Arabidopsis thaliana: one gene and its partners. The protein of the gene in region 2 interacts with the protein of the main gene of each other region in a pairwise test. Each region holds a gene or a part of one and is shown on either strand. Other genes may lie near its edges. The genes, in order: LSU1, AT5G66720, AT1G80040 and AT4G22250.

Region 1 (6,620 bases), on a different chromosome or scaffold from region 2:
CTTGGATCCCACAATTAAAAAAAAAAAAAAAGCTAAAGACAAAATAATAATTAATCTATCTACGAATTCGTAACAACGACTTCAAGAGAGGAAGAAGAGAGACGAGAGATTTGGTCCATGAGAAAGACTATACGAGAGTGATAGTCACGCGCCTGATCTAAAGACTCGACCTCTAGCTCCGCCAGTTGCGAGCAGAGTCTCTCCTCGGCCTCCTCCGCCACCACCGTACGCCGCCACAGCTGAACCATCTCTTTCTTCATCTCCTCCATTTCTCTCTCCAACTCTCCGTTCCTCCTCCGTAACTCCTCCACTTCTTCCGCCGCCACCGTCACATAACCTCCTCCTTTTCCCATTATGATTATGTTTCTTGTATATAGACAACAATTTGAGTTAGGTGGTTTTGCTGCTTCTTGTGTTAAACTGTTAAATTCTCTTCTATGTGTTGATGGTCCTTTTAATAGGCATATTTTGAGTTTTGGTATTTGGGATTGCAAAGTGTCTAGGTTCAATGTATCTCGTGTTCTCTTCTTTTTTTTTTTGTCGACATCATTGTCTGTCTACTGCACGTGGTACATATCATGCAAGACTATCACAATAATTTATTCCTTTTGAATATCTGCATCTAGAATTATCTTCAAGCAATATTTAACATTAAAAAAAAAAACATTTAGATTAAAATATAAATTAGGTATCGTTATCAGAAAATATATAATTTAGATATGAACTAGTATTATACTAATATGTAAACACACAAAAGTAGATAATTATTTATACAAAATCAAATACACAAAGATATACCACACTAATGATGACGAATATTAATTAGATATATATACTAGTAACCTAATAGGTTTAAAATGTTTTTTGGGGGCTGTTTTATTACATTAATCTAGAAAATGCAACATCAGTACATACATATCCATGCATGATAGTATAAGTATATCTGGCCTATTGTAGATATGTATCCTATATCCCAAATTTGACACATTTAAGAGAAAATCTCATATTCTATCAAAATTTTCATATAATTTGCTCATAGTGATTAGGCAAAAATCTTATAGTTATATTCCTTAATAGCTTATTAAGATGTCAAATTTCTTTTATCATCATCACCATAATTATTAGATACACAAAAAATTAGAAAATCATATTAAGACGTTAATTAGTATTATGCGAATTAGTTGAATATTAGGAATCGGTGAACGTCGTGGAGATACATATGGGTGACGTCACCAATCACGTCGATGTAATTGTCATATCCCATTTCTTCGTGCCTCCAGTGGACCACTTCTACTTATCCCAAGTCAATGGCCGTCGCACCAATGAAACACGTAACGATTATTCCTACTAATTCATTATTCTTGAATCCACCAATATTAGTCATTAAACCCATTAATCTAGGCCAAAGTCTAAGCTATCTCTATTTCCTAAATTGTTCATGGAACTATAGTTAATTAATTACAGTTTGGTCACCCGATATCAAAAGAATTATAGCTTTGTAAACAGTCAAATTCGATAGTCGATATCGTAGACAAATGATTCCAATAATGGTAGATCCTTCTTTTCAAGAGATATCAAAATCAGGGATAAAGTAGCATAAGAAAAAAGCCAAAGAAGAAAAAAAAATCATGAATAATCGTTTGCCCAATTATTACAAAATGCCAAAAAAAGCTGCGACATGAACAAATTCGGAGCGTGGGATGATCACATTTTAGACCATACAATTTGATTGAGTTCCTATACTGTCCAGGTTCAATGTATCTGCTTTCTTGTCCGGTTTAGTCTTCCAAAATTACATACTGGCTCACTTCGGTTTAATTTATTCTAATTTGGTTCAACTTTGTTTAGAATGAAAAAAACACACACACACACATCTTTCTTGAAACAATTGAAGTTTCAATTCATTTTTGGCAGGCATGGTTTACTCCGGTACCGTTGTTGATTAAATAAGAAATGGTAATAATTTTAAATCTACGCATGGCATATTCTCATCGTCAACGGATACTATCTCAAATTTATTATGATCAAAACAGTTAATTAACAGCAAAACAAACAAAATCACGTCAAAATCGAATGTCAATATTCCTCTTAATTTGCCAGCACCACATATCTTCATACTATTTTAAATGATTTTTTTTTATATTAACAAAATAAATATATAATTAAATGAAATAGAAACAGAAAATGACCCTTGAACCAATGGAAAACTTACACAATTTCATGTTTCACGTCCCCTAAAGACTATTGTTATGGTTCCATAGAAAAATCATTGAACCATTCTCTCCTACGGTTTCCATTGACCACAAAAAAAAAATCCTGAAGTTGTGGAAAATTTCCATGAAACTCATGTACCCAAAAACCCTTTATTTTTTTCTACACTCAAGTTTCAATTAACTCTTCTACGATTCCTTTGAAAATTATGGTAATGTAGGATTTCATGGAATTTAAACTTCAAAGTTCTTCGATCCCCTTCGAGTCTCCAATACCTACTAGTTCCATAAAATTATTTTGATAGTTAAGATTGACATTAGATCTCACTCATATATTATTACTTCATTACTTAAACATGGTATCATTCCAAAATATTATTTGCTTCCATAAGAACTTTTGTAATTAAAAGTCAAGACAAAATATGCAACTAGTACCAGAAATACTAATTCATTAGAAATGGAGTTCAACAATTTGTATGATTATCAGAAATTCTAATTTATTCACTAGAAATGGATTCAAACATTTAATTTATGTTGAAAACATAACATATTACCATCGATCTATATACATGTATAGTGATTGTCACATACACAACTATACATAACTTATGAGAAATATCTTATTCTACGAGGAAGAGACGACAGAAGAAGAAGAGAGACGAGAGATTTGATCCATGAGGAAGAGCATGCGATCGTGATAGTCACGTGCCTGTTCTAAAGACTCGACCTCCAGCTCCGCCAGCTGCGAGCAGAGTTGCTCTTCCGCCTCCTCCGCCACAACCGTTCGCTGCCACAACTTAATCATTTCTGTCTTCATCTCCGCCACTTCTCTCGAGAGCTCTATGTTCCTCCTCCTTAGCTCATCCATCTCTTCCGCCGCCACCGTCACGCATCCTCCTCGGTTCGCCATTAAGATTCTTTGTGTAAAAGGATTTGATTGTGGTTCTAACTTTGTTTCTTGATTTGTTGAGTGTTAGGGTTTGATTATGTTTCTTTAATAGGCGCTTTGTGTAGCTTTTGCATGTCCAGGTTCAATGTATCTGCTTCTTGATTTTTATTTCTCCTCACTTTTGATTTCGGTCAATATTTTCTCCTTACTTGAAACTTAAACATACTCATGGCTTATGTATGCATAGACCACCCCAAAAGAGAAAATTTACTATTTTTTTCGAATGTTCAATTTTTTTTTTTCGTTTTTTTATCACAGTTTCGCTAGGTTCGATTTAAATATTTTTTATATGAAACTTAAACCAAATTAATTTCGAAATTTCCGGTTTATCCATGTTATTAACTAGTTTTAACTTTAAAATTAATAAACAAATTGCCGTCTATACAACTATAAATTGATAAATGGATAAATATATGTTAACGTGTAAATAGAATAGTAATTAATAATTCTAATGCCGTGGTTTACACAAATTCAATTTAATTATTTATAAATCTCTGGTCCGTCAAATTTGTAATAAAAATGTGTTGGTCTGATCTCTGATGTATGTATGTGGTATATATTGATTACATTATTGAGTTAGTAGGGCTTGAAATAGGTGACGTCTGAAGCCAATCACTATAGTGTTTCTCACTTTCTTGTGATATTGTGAGTTTGTGACAAGGATTTATTCTTTAGATTATTAACTAACAAGTTAATAATTTGGGAAAACGCTGCCGCTTAATATTGCGTTACTTATATTATGATTGAAGAACTATTATGGGATATTTCACGACATCATACATCTACAACCACTATAAAATAGAAAATTAGTGTACTATCACCAAAAATATATTTCTCCTGTTCCATGAAATTTGATGTTTTAGATTTTTTTTTGTTCCATAAAAATTGATTTCTTAGGTTAATATTATTATTATTTTTATTAATGACTAATAGAGAGAGGAAAGAAGTAGAAATTATATTATTAAATTAACAAAAAAATAATATAAATAACATAAAAGTTAATTTTCTTAATTTGGGTGAAAAACCCAAAACATCATTCTTTTAGGAACATAGAGAATATATAATAGACATTTACAACTTATACATTTGTTGATAACATGCAGTATGTTAGTTTGAATACATATTTTTCACAACAGTAATAATAACAGTTGTTAGAAGACTAAACTACATTGTAAGAATCGCTTTCTCTTGTAATGATACAATATAACATATAACATTTAAAATAAAATAAAAATCTGTAGGTTTTAAAATGTTAGCTACGTAGTCCATAACTTCAAAAAACCAATGGTTTTGAACTCATTCCATAGTGATGATTGCAAATACATATTATCTGGTTTACAAAAAAAAAAAAAAAGTGTTCCAATTATCTAGAAATGTTGGGCCTAATGCTTAAACAGTAAGCCCATATACTTAAACATCCGACTTGGCGCATTTGCTTCACCTTCTCTACCAAAAAAGCGCGTGAGATTCAGGTTCACTGTATACATTAAGAGCCTATTGTCTTGTCTCCTGTAAAACCAGAAGAAAACAAAAATTCAACAAAGGATAACAAGGACGTGGCTATTCTTCATTGGCTGCATTCACAAGAGTCGAATATTAATTAGTAATTTCACAGTATAGTACATTAAGATTAACGAGACCTATTGTCTCCTGTAATTGAGGCAACAAGATAAGGGTAAAACGAGAAAAACAAAAGAGAACAAAGACGTGGCTATTTATCATTGGTTGAATTCAATATTAATTTAATTAGTAATTTCACAGTGTTCTCAAATCGTGATCGTGTGTGTTTCTTCTACCTCTGAAACTCTTTTTGTTTATGTTGATCATCATCATCGTCATCTGCGTGTAAAACACACTCACGCCATCGTTGACGTCTCAGATCTTCACATAAAAGCTTCTATTATCAAACTCTCTTCCTCACGGTAACCCTAACTATCTGTAATTTATCTCTCTACACTTTCTTCATCTCTTAATCACCTTAATCATCTTAAGCTTTGTATTTCTAGATCCTTCTCCCAAAACAACGATTCGTGATCTCCGTTCTCATAGATCAGTTTCGGATTTGGATATTTCTTAGGGATTTGTGTGAGATATTTTTAGAATTGTTTCGATTTAGGGATTTGTGTGAAGAAGATGGATTTTCCAGAGAATTTGCCTTCAGATATAGGAAGATTAGAGCAGATTGTTTCTCATTTCTTCCCAAAAGCATTACACATAGTTCTTAATTCCAGAATCCCTTCGTTGCAATCTCGTGGTCGTACTCGTGAGCGTTTATCAGGTCTTAACGTTAGAAAAAGTGACAAATGGTTTAATCTTGTGATGGGAGATCGTCCTGCTGCGTTGGAGAAATTGCATTCTTGGCATAGGAATATTCTGGATTCTATGATTATTGATATCATTCTTGTCCATCCGATTTCAAACGATAATTTGGATGATGATGATGATCATAGTGATTCTGTTGTTAGATCAGCTGAGACTGTGATTGAGCGTTGGGTTGTTCAATATGAGAATCCTTTGATTATGTCTCCTCAGAGTTCTGACTCTGCAACGCGTTACCAGAAGGTTTACAAGAAATCTATCATTCTGTTGCGGTCTCTTTATGCACAGACTCGGCTTCTTCCTGCTTATCGTGTCTCTAGGCAGCTGAGTTCTTCTCTTGCTTCTTCTGGTTATGATTTGATTTACAAGGTTTCATCTTTCAGTGACATATTCTCTGGTCCTGTGACGGAAACAATGAAAGAGTTTCGTTTTGCTCCTGTTGAAGTGCCTCCTGGTCGTCTTTGTGCATCGGTTACTTACCGTTCTGACTTATCTGATTTTAATCTCGGTGCTCATATCACATTGCCTCCGAGGATTATAACTGATTATGTGGGAAGTCCTGCAACAGATCCTATGAGGTTTTTCCCTTCTCCAGGGAGAAGTGTTGAAGGCCATTCCTTTACTGGTAGAGCTGGTCGGCCTCCATTGACTGGTTCATCTGCAGAACGTCCGCATAGCTGGACTAGCGGCTTTCACAGACCTCCAGCTCAATTCGCAACACCGAACCAATCTTTTTCGCCAGCTCAGTCTCATCAGTTGTCACCTGGGTTACACGATTTCCACTGGTCACGTACAGATGCTTTTGGTGACAATCACCAGCTTTCACCTCCCTTTTCACCATCGGGTTCTCCATCTACTCCAAGATACATATCTGGGGGTAACAGTCCGCGCATTAATGTGAGACCAGGGACTGCTCCAGTGACCATTCCTTCTTCAGCCACGTTAAATAGATACGTTTCATCTAACTTCTCTGAGCCAGGTAGGAATCCACTTCCTCCTTTTTCCCCCAAAAGCACAAGACGCTCCCCTTCATCGCAGGACTCTTTGCCTGGGATTGCGTTGTACAGGAGTTCTAGAAGCGGAGAGTCTCCTTCTGGATTAATGAACCAGTACCCTACTCAAAAGGTTATGCTTCTTACATC
Region 2 (8,366 bases):
TAGAAACTCTTGATTTCATTACTCAAATAGCTTATTCAAGAATTTATTAAAAATCCTGTATAGATAAAGTTCCTTAATTGTCAACCAGATTAAGTTGTTATTAAAGATGGAGGTAGAACGAATTTATTAGATCTAGATATTTAAAGGACTAAGATAAATTTATGTAATCTACTAATACATTCATGTTAATTTATCAAATTAATCATTATCAGAACAAAACCTACCACAATTATTATAGTTTCTTCCTTCATAAATCTTTATATTGGTCAACAATCTTCATATATAAGTTTATCTATATTACAGACGCATATTACAAAAAAAAAGAATAGAAATGAAATATGTTTGAATTTGTTATTTCGTAGACGATATTATAATAAAGTCTTTCCTTATTTTCCCTCCAGTTCCACATCGAGAGCCCTTTTTGAAAAATATTACTTTTTCAGAAAAGCCCTCTTATTTTATAGAGTTAACAGAAACACCCCAAACATTTCGGGTGTATAAATATAGAGCGTCACACTTTTTACTCAGCGTCGTCTTCATCGCTCACTCCAGAAATGAGACCTCGCGGGTATCAACGAGCTCCGTCAATGCAGAAACCAACAGATTATCCGACGGATAAGACGCTTCATCCGAATTACCCATTTCTCATGTCCTCTCATGGTCTCAAGTCCTTTGAATCGGACGACGAAGACGACGACTCCGACTCCTCCAACGATCAATTCGCTTTCACTATCAACACAGAGTTGCTTGTCGATGTCAAAGACATATCTATAGGGGACTTCATCGGCGAAGGTTCATCATCTACTGTCTACAGAGGATTGTGGGTTTCTCGTTTCTCAATCTCCTACTTCGAAATTGCTTCTGGGTTTGGTGCAAAAATTGCAGATTTTGTTTTCCTGTTTATCCTTTCTTGATTTCGGTATTTATTCGAAGAGTATAGGTTTCAGGGTATATTGGTGATTTAATTTTGGGTTTAACCTTGAAATTTGGAATCTTTCATGCTGGTTAGTGTTAGGTTTTGTCACTCTTAGGTTTATGTAGTCTCAGCTCTAGTGTTTCCTACACAATGCCTCAAAAAAGGATTAATGTTACAGAGAAACCATGAATTACAATAAGAAGGAAGATTCTGATGTGGGTGTTTGAATGAGTAATCTTTGTATTGTGGCATACTTGTTACTGATTTTTGGAATTTGGATATGGGTTAAAGAACATTTCTTTATCCATGATTATAGGTTCAGGAGAGTTGTCCCTGTGTCTGTGAAGATATTCCAGCCTAAAAGAACATCTGCTTTAAGCATTGAGCAGAGGAAGAAGTTTCAGAGAGAGGTTTTGCTGCTTTCCAAGTTTAGACATGAAAACATTGTGCGGGTAATATTGGAGCCTTTGATGTTTTGTTTGTTTTCATATGTTAGCAGCCTTATCTCGTTGGTCGTCGATGGTATAATATCCCTAATGGGATCCTTTTGATGACAGTTCATTGGGGCGTGCATAGAACCAAAGTTGATGATAATTACTGAACTCATGGAAGGCAATACTCTTCAGAAGTTTATGTTGAGTGTTCGTCCAAAGCCTCTTGATCTGAAGCTCTCCATTAGCTTTGCGTTGGATATTGCTCGGGGAATGGAGTTCTTGAATGCAAATGGCATTATTCACCGAGATTTGAAACCAAGTAAGTTAAACTGAGACATCACGAAAAGAGGAATCAAGATTTGTGAATTGAAGAAGATTGGTTTTTGTGCAGGTAATATGCTCTTAACAGGTGATCAGAAACATGTAAAGTTGGCTGACTTTGGACTTGCTAGAGAGGAGACTAAAGGTTTCATGACCTTTGAGGCTGGTACATACAGATGGATGGCTCCAGAGGTGGGTGTTTCTAGTTTCTTGTTACTTAATTAGGTTTAAAATCTTTTCTTGGTTTGTTAACTTGTTTGTTTGTTTCTCAGTTATTCAGCTATGACACGCTTGAAATTGGCGAAAAGAAACACTACGATCATAAGGTGGACGTTTACAGTTTCGCCATTGTTTTCTGGGAGTTACTTACCAACAAAACCCCATTCAAAGGAAAGAACAACATCTTTGTAGCTTATGCTGCCAGCAAAGTAAGTAAGCCACAATTTCAACTCAAAATCACAGGAACATGAATTGATTAAGTCCTTTAATATCTGCAGAACCAGAGACCAAGTGTGGAGAATCTTCCAGAAGGCGTTGTTTCTATCCTGCAATCATGCTGGGCAGAGAATCCTGACGCTCGTCCTGAGTTTAAAGAAATTACATATTCACTAACAAACTTGCTCAGAAGCTTAAGCTCAGACACTGATGCTACTTCATCCAATAGCAAAGCCAATATAGCTACCGAGGATTCAACAAGCAGTCTGGTTCAAGAACGTGTTGTCTGTGATTGTCCCGGACTAAAGATGAGCAAGACGAAGAAGCTGAAGAAGAAGACGAATAAACTGATGAATATGATCGTCCCTTTTCTCAAGATCTTCAAAAGTTGTATGTCCAAGTGATGGAAGTAGAAACTCTCTGGTAAAAGATAAAAGGTATAGCAATACGAACTCGACAGAGTAAAACGAAAGAAAAAATGGTTAGGCTTTGTGCTTTGTTCTTTTTTGTTTGGTATTTCAACAATTTATGTTGAAAAATAGTATGCCAAACTAATTAGTGTACGGAATCGAAGAATATGTGGTATAAATAATAGAATCATCATATAATTTACTCTATGAACCATGATTATTCTATCGTGTTTTTTCACCTAAGTAAACACAATTAGATTCACGTTTCATAACTTAGCTAAACTATATTTTGATTCCGTGAAAAATACACATTTAATGACCTCCTGAGGACTTTTAATACCGTAACAAGTTTTTCAAAAAAACACAACAAAAAATAAAAGAAAAGGTATCGTCAGATTTTGGCGGGATTGGACCGTTTAAACAGAAGATCATCAATTTGGTCTCTTAAGATGAGGTGACGTAAGAAACGACGGCAGTGATGTCATCAAGCTTTCCTCCGTAATACCTGTAGCCAGCCTCCTGAGCCGCAGTTGCGAAAGGGCTCTGCCGTTTTTTGTCGACTGCTCTTTGACGTGCCAACTCTGCAATCTTCTGAGCTGTGCCTTTCGGGTCTAAACCGGCCCTCACCGAGCTAACCACCACTCCTGTGATCTCTTCATTGTATAAATTATCATACACTCCATCTGTTCCAGCGACAATGACATCTCCAGACTGAACATCAATTGTGAATACCTGATTCATATAACCACACCAGCGTGTTCAATTCAATCCGTATAACCCGAACCACAACTGAAAAGTGTATTCAAAATGGTCTTATTAAGCTTTGATAATAGGAAGAATACGCCTTTGAAACTGACCTGACCGGAGCTAGGGACGTCGGCACTGTTCCCACTCTCTAATTGATAAGTGAAGTTGAATCCATGCTGCTGAACCGGAGACTGAAACACCGTGGTTCCCTCTCTAACCACCGTGAATCCACTGTCTCCGAGATTAATGGCGTGTAATCCCTTGCACAAGGAGAACAAACACTCTTCAACAGACGGTTCTAAGAAATACAGTTGTTGTTCATTCACAAACAAAACTCTGTGAGCTAACTAACCTTATCTTTTAAAACGATGATACAAGCCGTGGAGGAGCCTTTGGCTTTGGTTTGAGAATGTGCTTTCTCTAACACCACTAAAGGGTCGATAGAAGAACCTTTATGCTGTTCTTGAATTGCAGATACTGAATAAGACATAAGCTCACGCGAAAACAGTCCCGCATTAACACCAACCTCAGCCCAACCGCCAACTCCATCTGCAACTCCAATAGCTTGTTCTTCATCGCAGATAAAGTGAGCGTCTTCTCCACCTGTAGCTTCCTTTTCAGGATGCGGGAGATAACATGACCCCGACACTAGCCTAAGACTCCTACTCAAAATATCAAAACATTGAAACCAATTGGTAACAAAAAGATTAAGAAAGTGTAAAAGAACTTACTTAAGAGATGTAGTAGTAGTTGGTGGTGACTCTTGAGAACCACCGTTAAGAGAAGACAGCTCATGAGCCGGTCCAACCGAGAAACAAGCCATAGGAGAAGTATGAACACTCTTAGACAATGTCCCAAAGAGTGCACGACTCTTTTCTAGCGGATCAACAACAGAATAGTGACAAACCAATCGGTTCTTCATCATTCCCCCTCTCTTCCCAAGTCTCATGCTAGCTACAGGACAATTAATAGTGAAGCTACCACCACTAGAACGCTTCTTAGTGAAGTCTAAGCCATTTGAACAAGTAGTAACCAAATCATCCAAACAAGCGTCTCCAAACACTGGCAAAGAACCAGAAGCAGCCATGGCTTGACGAAACCGAGAACTATCAGAAAACAATCTCCTTTGACCCGAATTGGAGAAGAAGCTCTTACTTTTCCCAGCAACGATTCTTTGAAACCCAAATTGAGAAACTGGGTTTAATCTCGAGAGAGCAGTCGCTGACATCTGAATCAATAATAATCAATAAAAGGAAAGATTTTTACCAAAACTGAACAAAGCTACACCAAAATCAACAGACTATAAAACGAGCCCTTAATCATTACCCACTTCAAATACTTGAGATAAGAGATAAACTATTACCGGATTCTTCACTAGTCAGGGCTTTTTCCGTCTTCTTCTTCGCCGGAATTAGGTTAGAGAAGAGAGGAAGGAATATATAAAGATCTCTTGTTTCCGCTACCTACCTGCAGCTGCGAGCTCCTCCGTAAAACTCATTAGCCGATGAGGGCAAAATCGGAAACTTAACTTGTTTCTTCGTGTTCAGTTTTCGATGTCTGAAATTTCTCAGCGAAATTAAAAAATACTAAGAGATAATAATTTAATGGTCTTGGACTTGACATTTAAGGCCCAATAGTATTAAGCTTGTGGACTTGAGTAGTCTTCAGCATAATGACTAATGAGCTTAAAATATCAATGGCCTATTAAGAAAGAAACATTTCACAATCAACCCCAATAGGCTTCTCTCTTCTTGCTTACTGTACACAACCAATTTTATTTTCTTAATATTGAAAACTACACGATCATTGCTCGAGTCCAAGCATATCAATATTGATCAAATGATAAAGTCACACTAATCATAGTTACTGATTTCTGTTAAACTTCCGATTTTGTAATACAGTAAATATGATGTGGGTAAATAAATTATCTTGCTCTCCAAAATAAAATACAAAATAGTGCCTTTGTGGGTTGAATTGTCATGATAATTCTATCACTATAATGGACCTACGTAGCGATTGAAACATCAAAATCCAAAATCTTTGGTCGATTCTCCAATCAAATCACACTGGTCAAGTCTCAAATTATCTGGCCAAATTGAGACTATTTTTAGTTCTGCAAGTTTTTAGACAAATATCACCACCTTCCAAAAAATTTATCACTTTTGGGAGAAGTCAATTCAATCTCATCTACGAATTGTTCCCATTAATGCAAAAATTCGATTCAGCGTTTTAAGACAGCAAGCAACACCCAATAATAGAAACTTCAAACCCCATTGATTGTTTTCACATGGTAGAGACTTCCATCAGAACTAGACCAAGATTTGTAACCATCTGTAATAATTTAGCTGTCATGTCACAACCCGAGTTCAAATTATCTCTCAAAGTACAACATGTGAGTTATAATAAACCACACACCAAAAAAAAAACAATATATTTTGTTGTTGTTGCTAGGAGATTTATGTACTTGAGAGAAAACCCACTTGGGAATAAAACTAAAGCTTTCACTAAAACAAGATACCAAAACATCTAAAACCTGAAACAAACTTGATGAACTATATACTACACTGGTCTACTACGTTCATGCCTTTTGTCTCTCTTACGAACTTCTTCCAATGTCTTTGCCTGAAAACTCCCCTGATCCAAACAGATCGATTCCACCTCCACCACCTATAGAAGTTAACAGAGCAGACAATCCACCTCCGGTATTACCACCATTACCAACAGCTCTTCCTAATCCAAGAAAGTCTAGTGTCGTCTGTTTCGGACCAAACACCGATGAATTCCCCATCATGAGCTCTTTTAGACCCGATCCGCTACCACCGCTGCTACAAGGTAGTCCAAGTCCAAGACCAGGAGCTAATGACAATGCATCATGATTGCTGAGTTCCATAGATGAAGAAGTAGTTGAAACTATGCCTAACCCGCGAAGCAACGAACCTCCTGATCCCGTGGAACCCATTTGTGCAGCTTTTTGGAGCAATGCAGTAGCTGACATTGCCGGTTGAGGAGGGAGAGGAGTTAGGAAATGTGGCGGATCTCGTATTGTTGGTCCGAACAAAGAAGGGTTCGTCGAGAGACAGAGAGAGATGGGTTCCATGGAGGACGATGGTGCGAATAGACTTGGAGAAGCGGTTGAGGAAGCATATAAACTAGGCGAAGCTGTTGATGATACAAACAAACCTGCGTATCCACCATTGTTGTTACTGTGATCATTGCTTAGATCCGATGAGCTAACATTGAACCCGATCGTTCTTGAAGCTTCCTCAATAATGACTTCAGGATGATTGTTGTTTTCTTGAGATTCTACAAACAAAAAGAGATGATGAGTCATGGACATAAACTTTGAGGCTTTAATTATAATTAATGGATACATTATAGGCTTAGCTATGGAAGACGACGAACACGATTCAGTTTTTTAGCAGACATCAGAAATATAACGGCGCTACAGACAAAACCAACTAAACTCCAAGTTCACCGACCAGTTTACAGTTGGATTATTTTAAAGAGTTCTTGTTTCGGTTAGAGAATTGATAAATTGTTACATGTAGCGATTTTGCCACATTTTGCCATCAAACAGAGAGTTTGTATTATGTACCTGGAGAATTCTGAATCGGCAAAACAGAGGAAGATATGATTTTGACAGACTCAGTCTCAACCGAAATAGCCGGTGCCGGAGCTATAGCAACCGATGGCGGAGAAGAAGGCGGTAATGACGGAGAAGACTCAACAGCTGCTGGAGATTTTTGCTCAATTTCAGGATTCTTCCTAGTGACAGTTTCTGGATAAAGTTTCTTGCTTTGAGTATGATTCTTCGCACTCTCTTCAGCCAAGGCATCACAAAAGGCTCTATGCGTTATAAAGCTATCTCTCCTGCAACAAAACCCAATCCACAAGTTAGTAAAATCCATAAGAAAGATCAAACCTTTGAATATGTTTATAACAATTTGTCGCCACCTAGAAAACAGAGTTCCACAATCGCATTTATACTCCTTGGTGCCACAAATCTTCGAATGAGCTTTCCAATCTGATTGAACAGCATACTTCTTAGAACATTTCTCACACTTCCATTTCTTCTCGCCGTGTTTCCGACAAAAGTGTTTCTTGATTCCAGTAAGATCTCCAAGAGCACGTGAAGGGTCATGATGAACACAGCCAGAAACAGGACAAACATAAACCTTCTTCCTCACTTCTTTAGTCGATCTCTGTCGAAGTTTCCATGGAAGATTGTGACCACGACGATGAAGCTGAAGATTCTGGTCACGTTGAAAACCTTTGTTACAGATTTCGCAAACGAATCGATTCGTTGCCATAAGTGTTTTAGGTGACAAAGCTATCACTTCAGCGTCTGGATCTGAATTTAGACAATCAGTGAGAACAACTAAAAACAGAAAATTTCAAACTCAAAAAACAGAAAAAAAAAAGTTTGGATTTTTGAGAAGTACCAGGCATTCCAGGAAGATTCCGTTTCTTCTTCCCGACGGATTTAGGAGTTAGATTTTGGTTTCCGGTCGATGAGACGCTTGCATCGCCGGAAACTGTAGAGGAATTATCTAAATCAACCGGCATGTTTCAAAGATACTAAATTCCAATCTTTGAACACAAAAAGGAAGAAGCAAATCTCAGCTCAGCTCAATCTAGGGTTTATCATCCTCCTCCTACTCTGTTTAGTCTCTCTTTCTCTCTCTCTTCTTCAGCTACCAGTCAATCTGCTTTTCGTAAAAATCTCCTTTTCCCCTTTCCGCCACCAAACTTTTCTGATAACTCACTCTCTGACCTCTCTTCTTCAAAAAGATTTAAAACCCCCAAAAGAAAAAGAAAAAAAATCAAAACTTCATTACCCAAGAAATCTCTTAATCATTTAACCCAGACTCTCTCTTCTCCACACGCATCTTTTATCCACCGTCCACCGATCTGATCCAACGGCTGAGATTTCACCGGAGACGAGTTATCCTTACTACTTCCGGCTTGTTTCTCTCTGAAGAATCACCGGAAAAAAAAATAAGGCGGCTTGTGTGTGAGACTTTGTGTGAAAGCTTCAACCTTTTTTTTCTTTTTCTTTGGCTTGTCCAAGAAAAAGGAGCCTTCTTCTTCTTTTCTCTCTCT
Region 3 (8,355 bases), on a different chromosome or scaffold from region 2:
GGACCTGTGAAAACATGCCAAATGGTGTTTGCTCAGTTCTCATAACTTGACCCCGCCCACCACAAGTGGAGCATATTCTCATCTTGGATCCTGCTTTTGCCCCGGTGCCAGCACAAGCTTCACATGTCTCCAGATGCGTAAGATCAAATTCTTTCTCAGATCCAAAAATAGCCTCCGAAAGTTCTAAGGTGATGTCATACCTAAAACGCAATAGAAACAAAAATGCAAATTAATCACTTTTGGTTTTTCTCAAAGCTTATGCAGAACATGAAGAGCAAGGAAAAACTCCAAAAGAAAAAGCAAGCGAGTGGACATACAGACACAAACCTCCTCTGCTTGCTGATTCAAGCCCATGGTAGTAGAAAATTTCAGGACACATGGTAAGTTAGGAGACACTAACAATATTTTTAAGGTAATGATTGAATGGTATCTTATCAGCAAACAGTGAATGTTGTTATGCTACCAGAGAATAGAGAGGAAATCCTTTGGCGGTAAGTCAATAAATGCTTTGTTTCCTAATAGAAACTCACCGTAAATCTTCACCTTTGGTAACCCTACTGCGGCGGGTTCTCCCAAAATCAGCTTGGTCCATCCCGGGAAATCCACCCATACTTGCACCAAAGAATGTCTCGAAAAGGTCAAAGGGATTTGACTGGTTGGAAATGTAAGAGGAAGTAAATGTCAAGGACAACTATCGGACAAGCACAGTAGCTAATGGCCAATGCACACATCAAATCAGGTTTCAACATCTAATGCATCAGCAAGAGAAGAAACGCACAAATAGTGCCCTAAGCTAGCCAGTCATGGGTATGATTAAGCATAGCCAGAAAAAGATGAAGTGTTACCGTGTAAGGACCAGAAGCTCCTCCTACTGTACTCTTGACACCGGCTTCACCATATTGATCATATAATGCTCTCTTTTGCTCGTCTGATAGCACCTGACAATGTTGTAGTTCAGTAACCATAAGGCAAAATAGCTGACAACTCATGTTATAAAAGCAAAGCCTTGTAATCATGCAAGCTAACAAGTAACAAGAAAAGAAAACCCAAAAAAAGTGGTGATAGGACAGGAAAAGATGACATGAAGAGAATCGAACTGGGGGGACCTTAGCTTTTGGTGCATACCTCATAGGCAGCACTGATTTCCTTGAATTTTTCAGTTGCTCCGGGTTCCTTGTTCACATCGGGATGATACTAGATATAAAAAGTTGATAATCAGCTGAGATCATAGCTCAATAAGCTTGAAATAAAGTAGAAAACTAAAGCAGAGCTTGATGTTGAGTAGATTAAAGTAATAAAAATTCAAATAATATCATGTTCATGTGGAAACAAACAATTGATTCGTTGACTCGTCCTAGTTTGCACAACACAACCGTTTACAGACCCAGAATTAGAGAAAATGCTAACATAATCTCCGGATGCATAATTACTTGGATGATCAGGTTTTCACATTGGCAATTTCGGCGGCCGTAAGTAATGTCATAAGCGGGAGAAATTCACAAAGCAGAAAAACGAATTACAAAGAAATAGAAAGGATGAGGAGGAGGTGGTAAACCTGACGAGCGAGCCGTCGATAAGCAGCTTTAATCTCCTTGTTATTGGCAGATTTAGAGACACCGAGAGTGGCGTAGTAGTCTCCGGAAGTAGCAAATACGACGAGGGAACGGCCCCGTCGATTTCGATAAGGCGTAGACGAAGAAGACGAAGATGAAAGCGACAAGAAGCTCTTGTGATACCTGAAATTGGAACCGCCGTCGGAAAAGGCAGAGAAATTAGAAGAGAGGGAACGGGGACCATCGGCGGCGGCAGCGAAGCAGAGAGAAGAGGGGATGAGGGAGGGAGAAGCGAGGGCAGCCATTAGAGACAAAATGGAATCAAACGAGCTTCTCAAGCTACCAAGAGGACGCGGAGAAGCTTGGCAACGGGCATTGTTGAGAGATGATGACGATGATTCCAAAAGCGTTTTAGGCTAAAGAGAGTGAAATTCGGGATTTTGTGGTGCGAACCTCGCTCACGTGGATTTTCTTCCTTTCTTTCCTTTTTATTTTTCTCTTCCATCACTTCTTTTGCCGTAACCCAAAAGTCTCGTTTGCTTATTTCTTACAGGTAAAATCATTCATTCATATCATATACTACTAATGGTTGATCCGATTCGAATTTTCAGAACAATGTCAAATTATACAGCCCTATGTACCAAAACACATCCTTGATTTCCAAAATAAATGCGCCTGAGACAAACAGCAGCAAACCAAAGAAATATATAAAAAAAAAAGGAAAGGAAACAGAATGTTTGTTTGTCCTGACTACACAGTATTACAATGCAAAAGCACTTTTGTTTTGTAGTTTGATATCGCTCTCTCTCTCTCTCTCCCTCTACTTTCGTTTATTGCCTTCTCCTCCTCTGCAAGTGTCCTTGTCTTCTTGGAGAGCTTTAGAAGACGTCCGGATTGAATCTTGCTGGCATTGAGTTGCCATGTTCCACTTGCTGCAGCTGCATTCTCAACGCGTAATTGTTCACCTGCATTTTTTCTACCTTTTGTCATTCACTCTTTCTTTTATGAGGCATCATCAAATTCTAACAACATCTGTTTTTGGTTCAATTTTAAAACAACCAACACCAGACCATTCAAAGCAATAGCAAGGGATATGCAGAAGCTCTCTATCGCCTAAGGCTTACCTCCAGATTTCTAAGCTTTTCCTGATACTGAGGAACCAGTTGCTTCAAAAGTCCTAGCTGATGGTTCGCATCCTCCAATGCCTTCTGCCGCTCATGCTGGATAGCAACAGCACGTTTGAGGACTGTGTTGTCCTTCACCAAGGTCTCCACCTGTTGCTGCACTGCCACTTTCTCCTGTAAAATCATATGAGATTGTTATTTTGAGACAAGATATGCCAAAAATACTAAGAAGAGATTGTTACTAAGAACAAAATTACTATGATAACTTTATTTCCCCCATTGAAAAACAAACCCTCTTCAGATATCATAGTTAATGCAGAACAAATGGACGATGATTGTCCTTTCACAGTTGATTCCTCATTGCCATTATACATAATTGTGTTTAGATCCAACAAACTTGTAATCAGTGACGAGCGTATGCACCTACATAAGAAGTAACTAATGGTTCAACCTATGTCCTACAGCAACTGAAACTGTCTTCCATGCCCAGAGCTCAAAGAACAAATATGATTATCACTATTCATGGTCTGATAGCCAGTATGTATGCACAAGGTGCATATGTAAGGGTATATTTTGAAAGAAACACATTAAGAAAGATGCAATGCTTTATTTACCTCTTGGAATTTGTTTCCAGCTTCTTCACGAGCACGTGCACTTAACATCTTCTCTAAGGCCTCAAGGACTCTTGCTGCACGTACTTTTGCATCATCTGTACCAGACGATTGTAACACTTCCCTGACTAACAATTCAACCCAGTCATCACCACTGGTCGGGGGGTTTCCACCACAAACGGCATCAGTTTCCTGAGTAGCAGCACCTCCTGCGGCCAATTCTTCAGCTTTCTTCTCCTCAGAAGATGCGAAAGAGTATAAGCTCTTCATAGCAGCATTAAAATCACTTCCATTATCTTCTAGTGCCTTGACGAGAACCTGAGAAAGACTTGCAAATCTAGTTAAACCCTAGATACTGTACAAAATTTACTTACAACCAATCGCATAAAGAACCTGTGCAACCGAGACGTGAATTTTCGATGCTCAATTTACAGGCGGTGAAGAAGAAGAAGAAGAGAGATATCGGAGACAGATGCGTAATTTGAGGTCAACAAATGCCTAGTCAGTGAGATTTCTAGTACAAGATGCGAACAAGGTAAAGCTAGATCTGTGTGGATTGAATAGAAGGAAGACCTACCGTGAGTTCAATATGAGGAAACGCAGAGTGAAGCTGATCGAGCGATGAGGAAGGAGGAGAGGACCAGATTGGAGAATTGGAAGGCGAAAAACATCGGAACCTCTTAGAAGAGGGCGGAGAAGAATTATCGTCGAAGTAAGATCTCTTGGTTCCGCAATATACGGCAGACATGGCCCTGGCCGTGAAAACCAAAACAAGAATTGACAGCTGATTCGATCCAAACGCGATAAATTAGGGTTTAGGGAGAAGGAGAAGAAGAAGAAGATGACTCTTGAAGAAAGAATCTCCGACGATCGAGAGAGATTGAGGAAGGAGCGTCGTAAGAGAGGTTTCGTATCTAAGAAAATCTAATCGGGTTTTAGGTTTTCGATTGGGTTTCCTTTTCTTTATCTTAAAGGCCAGGCCAGGAGACCTTATTTTACCCTTTTTATATACAGATCTTTAAGCGGCAGGGGCTTTCTCGTACTTTTGTTAATCACATGGGCGCGTTGCGTTGCGCGTGAAACTCCCTGCCAACGTTTTTTTCTTTTTTCAAATATTTTGTTTATCTGATAATTCCTTTTTTGCCCCCTTAGTAAAGTTATCTAACAAACAATATGATGTATATTATTTATAAATTCTGCCATGTAAATCACTAGAAAATCGACTTGAATTCATTCATCTGAAGAACAGTGGTGCATAATACTGCATACCTTCGTATTCCGAATTTCATAGTAACTAGCATGAATCATTCCACATGGAGCCAATAGAAAACAAACAAATCCTTAGTTACAAAATCGATTAAACCGATTACATTATTTGTCATAATCGTTGAATAGAAAAGGCTTTTATAAGGTTAATTCATCAAACTGGTTTGGTTCCACCAGAACGTACAAAGGCTTTCCCTTCAGCTTACACTGCCCCTACATATCGTAGACAATGAGTTATTTTATTATCTTCAAATGTATGGGCCTATAGCGCCCATTAAAGCCCAAAATATTATTGACGCGAATTTAAAAGACCTTCAACTTATGCAAACGAACAAAGTAGGTCATATAGTACCTTAAACTTAGGCAAACCAACAACGCATGCACACTCTACAACTTCGGCCCCGGCACGCTCTAAAGTGCATAGAAGAGACTCACTTTTAGTTCAATAATTATACTCAGATATAATATACAACTTCTTAAGCGTAAATATATAAATCATCTTGTTTAGCATGTAGCATTCATTTTCTAGCTAATGAAAGTAGAAAGATATTATTTACCCAAGAGGTTAATGGAAGCAGAGAGTGTCCCACCAGTGGCAACTAAATCGTCGATGATGAGAGCTCGTTCCTCCGATTTGACGGCTTCTACACTCATCTCTAGACAATCTCTTCCATACTCAAGTTCGTACTCTTCGCTTATCACTCTCCCTTTTTTAACATCACAATCAATAGTATCCTTCAATAACACTTTTTCTATTCCATCAAAATGTACGTTTTTGTCTGAGAAGTGATATGTATGTATATTACTAATCGTACCGGGTAGTTTTCCCGGTTTGCGTAGTGGAACGAACTTGGCACCTATGGCTAACGCGATGGGAGGTCCAAATATGAATCCTCTCGCCTCTACTCCTGCATACATCAATCTATGTTTTTAGTATTTCTTAGACATTTCTAATTATGTTCCAAAAAGGTTCACTAAAAGACAAAAGAAAAAACAAGAGACAGACTAACGACAATAATAAAGAGTAAAGGGATAAGTAACTAGTCACCAACCACACTAGACAAACTAGTATGTGAGTGTAAAATCATTAATCCATAAAAGTTGTCTATTTGTTTATTCAATCTTTTCATATTGGCTGATATAATTACGCTTCGGATTCTATATGTCGTATATTATAAATTTAATAATCTATATGTGCGTTGCCTTCCAAGCTGAATGCTTCTCTTAAGGATATCGTAAATTAATCAAGAATAAATAAAGAAATGTGTTGCCTTTCAAGCTAAATCAATAATTAGCCGGTTTTGTTCGTGTGTGTCGTATTTGGCAAAGACTAATTAAATAGCGACTTAAACTATAAAAGAAGGCATCTAATAATCATGAGAAAGTTTAAAGAAAGGAAAGTGAAAGGAACCGGCGACGAGAGAGATGTTCATGTGCTTGTAACGATCAACGAAGATGTCGACGACATGTTTAAAGGCAACTGGATCCAGCAACAACGTTGTTATGTCCTGAAACATGATCCCTGCAACACAAACACACTCTAAGCTTAGTTAGTTTGTAAGCTAAAAGAAAAACTAAAGGCAAAGAAGAGAAAAATGGACCAGTCTTGGGGAAGTGAGGAATGACACGAATGGCGTCGGAGATGGCCTTTAATCTCGGGTCTCCCTGCAACCCATTCTCCACGGCAAACATCTCTCACTCACTCGTGCTTGTGCTTACGTTTGTCTTGGTGTTTGTCGAAGAAGAAGAGAGAATGGGGTTTGCTGTATTTATGATAGCATTTATATTGATAATTCTTCCTTTCTATCTCTATCTCTCATTTATTTCCTTCACCCCACTCATCGTACGTCTCCATCCGAATTTGTTATTTTTAATATATCTTTTAAAAATTGAAATATATAAAGAATAATCAAATTAAAGCTCACTTGTAACGACCACTTCATAGTGGTTGGATAGATTTACTATGTAAATTGAGAACCAAAGTTCAAATATCTTAGATTCTATCCAATAATGGTTGACTATATATAGATTTCATGTTAATATGATTAATTTTGTGGGTTCTAGTCTTCTAGATCAAGGCTTTTGTGTGATGGATTTTTACCAAAAATCATAAATGTGTTGTGGTATTGATCTAACGAAATCGATATTCTGTGCCAGCACAGCATGCACGCATACTTGTAAAAATATACAGCGAATCTTTCTTTACCAGAAAATCAACAAATCTTTCTGGAAGATATGAAATTGTAAACTCGAGCATTTATAGTAATAGTGGTTATGACCCATTTATCTCTGTCTTTCCATAAACAAATCAATTTCCAAAGAAAGTTGTAATGTTAAAAGGGGAGAAAACGTTGATTCAATGGTAAAACCGGTAAAGAAGGTAAAAGAGGAGCAAGGAGGGTCCAGATGTGAGTGAGAGTAGGGAGATAGATAAAATAAAAACGTACGAGTGCCTATTTCGACTGTTGAAGCGCACGCCTGCTCTTCTTCTTCTTCTTTTTGTTTGATTTTCAAATCATTTCATTACTTTACTATATTTTGTGCCCCACCTATGTTATTATGTATGCCGTTTTTTCAATCACAAGTAGAGATTTGGTTGGCTTTAGATTTCGTCTAGATATATGGTTTAACATTTTAAGCTCCGCACTACTACTACTACTAGTACTACTTCTTCTTACCATATAATTTGAGATAAGTGATTACATCACCAGTTCCATTATACGTTGTAAAACAGAGAAGAAAAGCAAAGTGGAGACGTATTAGAAAGCTTTCATTTTGAAGCATCACAGAAATACAAGAAATAAATCTTATAAACAAAAGAAGCCTATAATTGGATTCAAAGATATATAGCTGAAAACAGATGAAGAGGCAAAATCAAAATCAATCAGATGAGACTATTATCCTTTTCTGTCCACTAGTCGGATCTGAACCAACTTATGCTTTTCATGATTTCATCTACATACACACTATGACTCTAGATCATTAGACACGTCACTCCTTATATTTCACAATAAAACGACAACAACACTCAAACTCGATTATTGTAGTGGTCTTTCAAATCCAACTTCAAAACAGAAAAGAACACAACGAATACATTCGTAAGCGGCCGAGTTGCACCTATCTATATCCTTAGATGTTAGGATTTTTTTACTGAAATATCTAATTGGTCAGTTTATTTCAAGATTTCTAAACGGTAAGTAAAGAAAAGGAAAAATGGTTGAAAGAAGAGATGATGAAGTTTGAAAACGAAACACAAGGAATGCGTACCTCACAAATATCTTTCGTGCAGTTAATTTCAAAAGAGACAGAGAAGGACACCAAATCTTAGGAGGACAATCACTACCCAAGATCTCCTCTGCCTCTCTTTCATTTACTTCCAATAATTTTTTTTTTTTTAAAGACATAAAAAGGATTGAAAGAGAGGGACTTGACCATGTGACTCTGTGCTCTCCTCTAACAGTAACATCAACTCTAATCAAAATGCCAATCAAAGATCCCACTTATTTGCGTTTTTTACTGTTGGCAGATAGTGTAAGTCACTGTATCCACTATCCTCTCACCTTTTGGTGTTACAACTTGTAACTTACAAGTCCAGTGCATGCAGGACAATGAGACTATCACACATCCAATATTAGATTAGACCCACATGCTGAGATCCATCAGTCATACCAATTTTTTTAGAAAGTAGAATCCTGACCTGTAACAACCTCAGTGGCTGTGCCTTGGGGATTACTTTACTTTATTGAGTGGTATACTCTTCGTGGATCACAGAATGCAGAATAGACGAGAATGAAAGTCTTC
Region 4 (7,214 bases), on a different chromosome or scaffold from region 2:
GATTATTCTTCATTGTTATCATTATTATTGTCTCCTCCACTTTCAGTTTTGGCTCTGATTCATGCTCTCCGCATCAAACCCTCCACCAAACTGTACATAACAAAACACAGTTTCAAACTTTCAGTTATATGAGAAATTTGGTCAATTTAGGTTTCTTATGTTCTTGTCTGAATTGAGTTTTTCCTTTACCTGATGGTCTCTAAATAAATTACAGAAAGAACAAACACATTCAAAATAGGGCTTCAGATATTGAGAAACTCTATGGCATATGCTAGAAACCTCGAGTACTATACTAACAAGTATCCCATACCATACTAATAGAACCATTTCCAGTGACTGAGTCCCTCAAAAAAAAAATGATAGGCATCAAGCACAGAGTGAACCAATTAGACAACAAAATGACAGTCATCATCTCGATTCTTATCGAAAGACCCGACGTTGCCGGGATAATTCTCATGTAACTCTTGCATCGGTACATAGTTTACTTTCTAAATCAAACAGAAGAGAATGAAATTCTAAAACACTTGAATTTTGTGAAAATCTGAGACACATTTCATAGGCCATAGACGAGATGTTCTGTAGTAGTTAAAAACATTATATTCCTTATCATCGAGTTAATAACAACGATTAAGAAGTAAACCTACAACCACACTATATATTTGTCTCACTTAACACAACGACAAGAGAGAGACATATATTTTGACCAAGTTCAAGGATTCAAGAGAGGGCTTCCTTCTTTGATAAGCACAAAGACACTTCCACCGTCTCCTCTAGAGATCCGAATGTCTTTGTCTAGATAAGTCGTGAGTAGCCAAGACTGCGCATTGTCCGCCGGCAAAGAGAATTTCAACGGTGGTTGGCTTGATATGGTTCTAGCCACAGACGAGGCTGTGTCTTGCACCGAGGTAAGTAACCCTCTGATCGGGTTAAGATCAATCTTTTGACCAAGAACCTCTACATATTCCGGTATCTCAATAGAATCCGTTAGCTGAGGCGTCCCAATTACGCCTTGCTCAAACTTAATCTGCAAGAAAAATGAAATCCAAAACATTACTGAAAACGTTTCAAGATGTTGATATCAGATCATGGTCGATGAATGGTCAATTTACCTGGACGCGTTTAGGGCTTCGGATTTCGAATTTAGCGTTGGTGCTAATCGAGTTTGTACCTAAAGGACCAGCGAAACGAACAGAGTTCTGGACGGTGAAGTTATCTGAATCAATGGTTTGAGAGATCTCATCGACTTTTATTAACGGTACGATTCCTCGTGATAGCAACGGGAACAAATTCACGAACGATGTGTAGCTGCAAAAGAGGTTTAACCAAATCAAAAGCAGCACGAGATCTACCATTTGAATCCAGAATCCTACGAATGATGCTATCTACAGGACTACAAGAGAAAGTTTTCACCGGAAAAAAACTTACGCGAGGATCCATTTGCCGTTGAGAAGGAAAAGAGCTTCCGTCGGAGCTGGAGTAGGGTTCTTAGACTCGAGCTGTGTGATTAGATCTCCGATTTCAGCTCTGGTTTCGCTCGATGCGCTTAAACCTCGATCTGTTCCGTACAACGAATCCACGAGCGATCTCTTTAGCCGCTCCGTCTCTTCCACGTCTTCAATTGCTTCCTCCGCCGCCAATAGAGCTGATCCTATCTCTCCCGTATCTGTGGCTCGGACTTTGAAAACTCTACGGGGGGAAACAGCGATTCCTCCGGTGGAGATCATCGGGCGGTGAATAATTGAGGTCACCGGTACCAGAAACGGAGGCTTGGAGATAGATTTAGAGTTCGGTGAGATTGAAACTCTGGTTTGGCAGCTAAATTGGGTGGACAATTGTACCGTCGCCATTTTTTTTTGTTTCTTCGACTAAAATTTCGAAGCTAGTGAACAAGAATAGACCTGTACTGATTTTATAGACATTGTTACGTAAATGTTTTGCTTTCATCAACTACCAAACTCACACCAAGAGGGATAATATCGACTATTCCACATAGATCATGTACATTCGACTACGATACTGCCACGTGAGAGACAAGATCAACGGCCAAGAATCCACTCGACGGTGTGAGGCGAGCATTGTTTAGGCTAGATAAAATCCAAAATAACGGTTTACTGGGCTTGAATAGACTAAATGGGCCTCGTGAACAAAAAACCTCTTGTATTCTTTTTTGCATTTACATCATCTTCTTCAATAACCAAAAGAAACGTACAAAGTACACAAACCGTAGTTAAAACTTTGGAAACGTATCTAGGGATCACCTCACTTACTCACGTGGATCGAGAACTTTTAGCCGTCCGATCGTTTTCAGAAAATATCGAGTATCTCAATGATCGGACGGTTACAAAGAGGACACGATCCACGGTTCAGCCACAATTCTCTAGAGCACACTCTGCAAAAAGTATGACCACATGGAATAAACGCAGCGCCTTTCTTTCTTCCCATACACACGCAACACACCGAATCATTACCCGTTAACGTCCCAATAGACGCCGTTAATATCTCCGTTTCTTTCCCGTCGTCATCAACGATTTTCTCCGCCGTCTCTTCCAACAATCTCATCAACGAAACTCTCCTCGGCGTCATATCTGCCTCCGCCTCCGTCGATTCTCCACGGTTATACCTCTCCGCTTCTAACGCTGTCGCGAGATTCATACCCGTACCCGATCCATGATCCGATTCGAGAACGAGTCCGGTTTCAATTTGTAACTCTTCGATTTCGTCGTCTCTTGAGGTTGGACTGTGAAGAGTGGTGTTGTTAGTTAGACGGAGATTCCAGGTTGGACCACAGCATCCGATGCATTTGAATCTCAACCGTTCTTTTAACGTCCGTTTCCTTCTGGTGAGATCGTGACCGCTCATCTGTCGTCGGAGCAAATCAAGAAACGTCGTCGTCGTGCGGTGTGTTTCCGTCATCCTCTGACTCGTTCCGAGATCGAGTTCACTCATCATCGACTCGGTAACGGAAACTCTAAACAAATTCTCAGATAGTGAAACAGAATCACCAGTGAAATAGACAGATTAGCTCCGCCATGAGAGAGCCCTGTGAGGGAGAGAGAGAAACTGTTTAGATCTTTGGGTCTCGCAGTGATGATGACATTATAAAGGAAGTTTTCAGAGTTTTTTTTTTCTCTTCACATTTCTTTATTTTTTTTGTTAAAGTTGCTTCCGAATATTGATTTCCCGCGAATTAAAATTACTTTATACAGTTTTACTAATTTTTAACAGTTATAACGATTCTGTTTGACTGGTATTCCACACAAAATTACAGTAGTAGTGGAATCGAGTATATTTGTAAAATATTTTTCCAACTTGAGTATATAACTTTCAATTTTTAAAAACCAATTTTTAATAAGTTACTTACATCATTGTTTAAAACTTAAAAGGTTAATCAACTTATAATTATGTGTAATTTACCGAGAAATGATGTACAGTGTACGCAATGGGGGCAACTATAATGTTAGTTCTTCTGAATTTCTGATAGAAAGAGAAAAAATAAATTTACTTAAGAGGAAAAATTTAATGCTGTTTCTGTAACTGTACGACTTAGTTTTAAAATTAAATAAAAAAGTCTTCAAGGTCTCGAATAGAAACAAAATCGAATTAGTACTTAAGTTTATACTCCCTCCGTTTCATAATATAAGTTGTTTTATACCAAATTTTTTGTTTTATAATATAAGTTGTTTTCAAGTTTCTATGCAAATTATATATTATTTTAATACTTTATGATTATTTATATTCTACAGTTTTTTTTATAATTGGTTGAACATTTTAAAAATAAATATTCTTAATATACGTATTTTTAGTTAAAACAACTTATATTGTGAAACGAAGGGAATATTACCAACAAAAAAGGTCCTCCATCGGAGTTCAAACCCTATTAAAGATTAAACAAATCATCAATCGAATAAAGGTACTATTAATGTAACGCTAACTCTGAAATAAAAGCGACGATCAAAGTATTCGAATTTGATTACTGCTAATTATACTAGACTGATGAATTCTCTTACCTGTGCTATAACCGGAACATGGTTTTTTGGTAAAACCTTTCTGGCGGGAAAACATTTTTGTTATTAAACCCGCGGAAAATCATTTTAAAAAGTGAAAGGCAAAGAAGAGACAAAAAAAAAAAAAAAAAAAGAAGAAAAATTAAAGAAGGCGCATGAATCAAGGCTTTTCCCACGTGAAATGTTCGCATAGACGACGTCGTCTTTGCGCCACACTCTCCCCAACAAAACCAATAAAAATAAAAGTGTGGGATATAGAGATTCTAAACGCTAATACCAATATGCTTTTTGAGAGAATGATACATTCAATGATTTTGTACTTTTAAACATTTTTTTTACTCCTGTGAAATAAGAATTGAAGAAACCGACAATGCAACCACAAAGGCTAGTAGTATGGATAAAATGGTCTACAACGACTTAAGCTCATCAAAGTACATTTACATCATTAGGGTATTTGATTCTCTCACACACTAGCACAACGATGGGAATTTCACATTATTCCTTTATTCCCAAGTATATGGGATTATATCTATTGTTCATGAGCTGATACAAATAATCTTTTTTAGTTTACTTTCTAATTTATTAACTTGTAATGGATTTCTTGAGGCAGTCTACAATACCTTCGCAATGAGCCTCCTCAGGAACAACACACCCTGATTCTTCTTCAGTATCATCATCTTCTAAAATGGAGTGTGGAGAACGCAGACTGCCTAGAGTCTGACAAGCTCTCATTGTCTTGCAGTGTTCTGCTTCATCATCTCTTATGTTCACAAACACATCGTATAGATTTTCTGCCCAACCGTAATCACAAAACAACAAAAACGTTATATAGATTCTTATTTTAACATCAAAGTAAGTCACAAACTGTGAATAATGCTTCCTCCATACAAACATAAGACAGAATCTCAGTCATTTATAGAGCGCAGAATCATAACCATGGATAAATCATAAACTTTTTTTTAGCATTTTGTGGTTCGACGGAATCAGAGATGGAAAGAACTAAACGGATATGAAATAGATTTGCTACCTATTACTGGTCTTCGAGTATTGGGAGTTCTTGATGTTTGGAACTCATCTGCAGACAATACAGGGCCAGTTTAAAAGACTACTAATCATAGGTAAAAACATCTCTACAACTCTGGAGGATATTGATAATTCCTGGAAAGACAAACTCACCAAATAAGTACAAGTCACCTCCCGTATAGTATTTTACTGCGATATCCGGTGCAGGCATATTCTTCAACTCCTCTGTTTAGGGAAACCAAAAAAAAATGAAGCACAACAATTCAGAATGTAAAGATCGTTGAAGAATTTTGTGTAATATTTCAAAGCAATAACTCCATTAACAACTTTAGTTCTAATGTAAATGGTACACAGAATGGTGGAGAAAGAAGAAAAAACCATTGGTAACCAACCTCCACTGGCCTTGAGAAATTTATCATAAGTCTCATATGCATGACTCTCCACACATTCCGAAAAGTGATCTGCATAGGTGACACAAGGTTAACGAAGTCATGTAGACCAGAAGCAATTTATTCAGCTACTTTCTAGAAGTTACGCGGAAAGGAAACTTACATGCCATTCTAGGGCTTAAGATATACAAGAACACTGTCATGAAGTAGTAGAAGGTTGCTATGTGCTGAGCCAGAAAACGATCAAACCACCAAGAATTTCCACCCAATTCCTGTGATTAGAAACATTTGTTTTACTATTACTAACTATGTGAGTAAAGAGTATGAAACTTGTAGAGAAGTAACATTTTGGTTCTTACTTCCATTATGAGCAAGTGATGCATTTCATTCCAGCTCTCAGCAAAGTGTACTTTCAAATAATCTGCTCTCCTCCACCAACCAAAGGTCTCATACATATGTAGCACAGACATAAACGCTGCAAGGAGCATATAGAAGAAACAAACATTATGTTCTAGCCTCGGAACAACTTTTCATTTGGTATCCAGATCCATAATTAGTGATAAACACACTAAAAAAAACAAGATTCGATTCTCAACAAATCCAATATCTCGATGACTGAATCGCCTTTTGTTGTTAAGAGTTGAACTATGCTTCTAATGAGATAAGAAAGAGTACATATTCCTCAAACACAACTATTTCGTCATTGTTCTTCTTCTGCACACATCTCAAGTGATGTTCACAATCTTACTGTCTTCTGAAGAATACAAAACCTAATGACTAGCTCTTAATGCTCTGCTCAATGTTTCTTGCAAATATTATAACGAACTGAAACTACAATTACAAATAGATGCACTTACCAAAATAAGGCACTCTAGCAATTGTCTCAAGAACAAAGAACCTTGCATATGTTCGGTCACGATACAAAGTGTCAAGTATCTTAATAACCGAGTCCTGCGGAGAAAACGAAAACAAGACAACAATCAGAAGACATGAAATAACTTCCGGTAAAATAACACAACCAAAAAATCTATATTTCTAGTAAGACATAACGTTTCAGGTAAATAAAAGAGTTATAAAACCTTACTGTAAGGAAAACATTCACTCCTTGCTCAAGCTTGATGATCCATGTCTCAAAAGCACTAGTTGAAGAAGAACTCATATTTGGCTCCTCAAGTGGTTCTGTACCAGTAGAAGTCTCGGCTTTAAACGATTCCTCCACCACCACTTTCTCTTCATCGTCTTGCAAAATCGTTGCTTGGACTCGATGATTGTTCCTGAAGTTTTCAAAAAAGTTCCAATTTTCAGCAAACTAGAAATGGACGAAACAAAAGTACAGCAAAATTCAAATCCTTTTCATAATCACGTGTGAACAAATCAATTAAATATTAGCTGTAGCTAGGCACACCTTAATAGCAGACGACGAGAAGAGAGAGGAAGATGATGAAGCAATCGGTGAGAGGAGCTGTACGAAACGGCGGCTCTAGAGCGTCGAAGAGTAACCAAAGGCCGTGAAATCGTCAACGTACCAGAGGAGATGCCTGAAATCGCCGCCATCTCCGTCAGGAACCAAAGATTTGAGCAGATAATTTCACAGGAAAGAAAAGTAAAAGTTGGATATTTTTGGTAGAAATGGAGAAATTTTGCGGGTTTTAGAAGAAGAATGACGAATCCCAATGTGAGCGGATTCTCCACTACTTCTCATCCCCATCGACGTCGACGCGTCCAACAAATCACGGCCGGAGAAATTTCCTACCAAAATTAGGATCCGATTAAGTCAAATGATCCGACCCGGGTTAAC

Evidence for each region.
Region 1: the proteins of AT5G66720 (region 2) and LSU1 interact in a two-hybrid assay, tested with the Arabidopsis thaliana proteins (one large-scale study listed by BioGRID).
Region 3: the proteins of AT5G66720 (region 2) and AT1G80040 interact in a two-hybrid assay, tested with the Arabidopsis thaliana proteins (one large-scale study listed by BioGRID).
Region 4: the proteins of AT5G66720 (region 2) and AT4G22250 interact in a two-hybrid assay, tested with the Arabidopsis thaliana proteins (one large-scale study listed by BioGRID).

What each region holds. Positions count from the first base shown.
Region 1 is NC_003074.8:18,372,600-18,379,219, forward strand, and holds LSU1 (response to low sulfur 1), read right to left. Parts: upstream 3,342-6,620; 5' UTR 3,121-3,341; coding exon 2,836-3,120; 3' UTR 2,634-2,835; downstream 1-2,633. Other genes in the region: LSU3 (response to low sulfur 3), read right to left, coding at 60-353; ATG13 (Autophagy-related protein 13), read left to right, coding at 5,293-6,620.
Region 2 is NC_003076.8:26,636,055-26,644,420, forward strand, and holds AT5G66720 (Protein phosphatase 2C family protein), read right to left. Parts: upstream 4,859-8,366; 5' UTR 4,627-4,858; intron 4,492-4,626; coding exon 3,995-4,491; intron 3,926-3,994; coding exon 3,616-3,925; intron 3,524-3,615; coding exon 3,374-3,523; intron 3,249-3,373; coding exon 2,961-3,248; 3' UTR 2,736-2,960; downstream 1-2,735. Other genes in the region: AT5G66710 (Protein kinase superfamily protein), read left to right, coding at 555-820, 1,233-1,368, 1,474-1,669, 1,742-1,863, 1,944-2,099, 2,169-2,510; IDD1 (C2H2-like zinc finger protein), read right to left, coding at 5,860-6,566, 6,859-7,133, 7,218-7,614, 7,706-7,829.
Region 3 is NC_003070.9:30,107,016-30,115,370, forward strand, and holds AT1G80040 (ubiquitin system component Cue), read right to left. Parts: upstream 4,270-8,355; 5' UTR 4,037-4,269; coding exon 3,866-4,036; coding exon of another isoform or gene 3,862-3,865; exon of another isoform or gene 3,711-3,861; coding exon of another isoform or gene 3,682-3,710; intron 3,607-3,681; coding exon 3,292-3,606; intron 3,101-3,291; coding exon of another isoform or gene 3,044-3,100; exon of another isoform or gene 2,852-3,043; coding exon 2,678-2,851; intron 2,519-2,677; coding exon 2,432-2,518; 3' UTR 2,044-2,431; downstream 1-2,043. Other genes in the region: AT1G80030 (Molecular chaperone Hsp40/DnaJ family protein), read right to left, coding at 5-200, 531-652, 846-938, 1,126-1,194, 1,556-1,858; APT2 (adenine phosphoribosyl transferase 2), read right to left, coding at 4,693-4,767, 4,907-4,965, 5,112-5,261, 5,370-5,462, 5,966-6,076, 6,156-6,246.
Region 4 is NC_003075.7:11,765,381-11,772,594, forward strand, and holds AT4G22250 (RING/U-box superfamily protein), read right to left. Parts: upstream 3,184-7,214; 5' UTR 2,950-3,183; coding exon 2,305-2,949; 3' UTR 2,075-2,304; downstream 1-2,074. Other genes in the region: AT4G22240 (Plastid-lipid associated protein PAP / fibrillin family protein), read right to left, coding at 710-1,024, 1,110-1,305, 1,426-1,847; IM (Alternative oxidase family protein), read right to left, coding at 4,587-4,795, 5,032-5,079, 5,181-5,252, 5,420-5,488, 5,580-5,688, 5,776-5,891, 6,274-6,367, 6,501-6,690 and 1 more.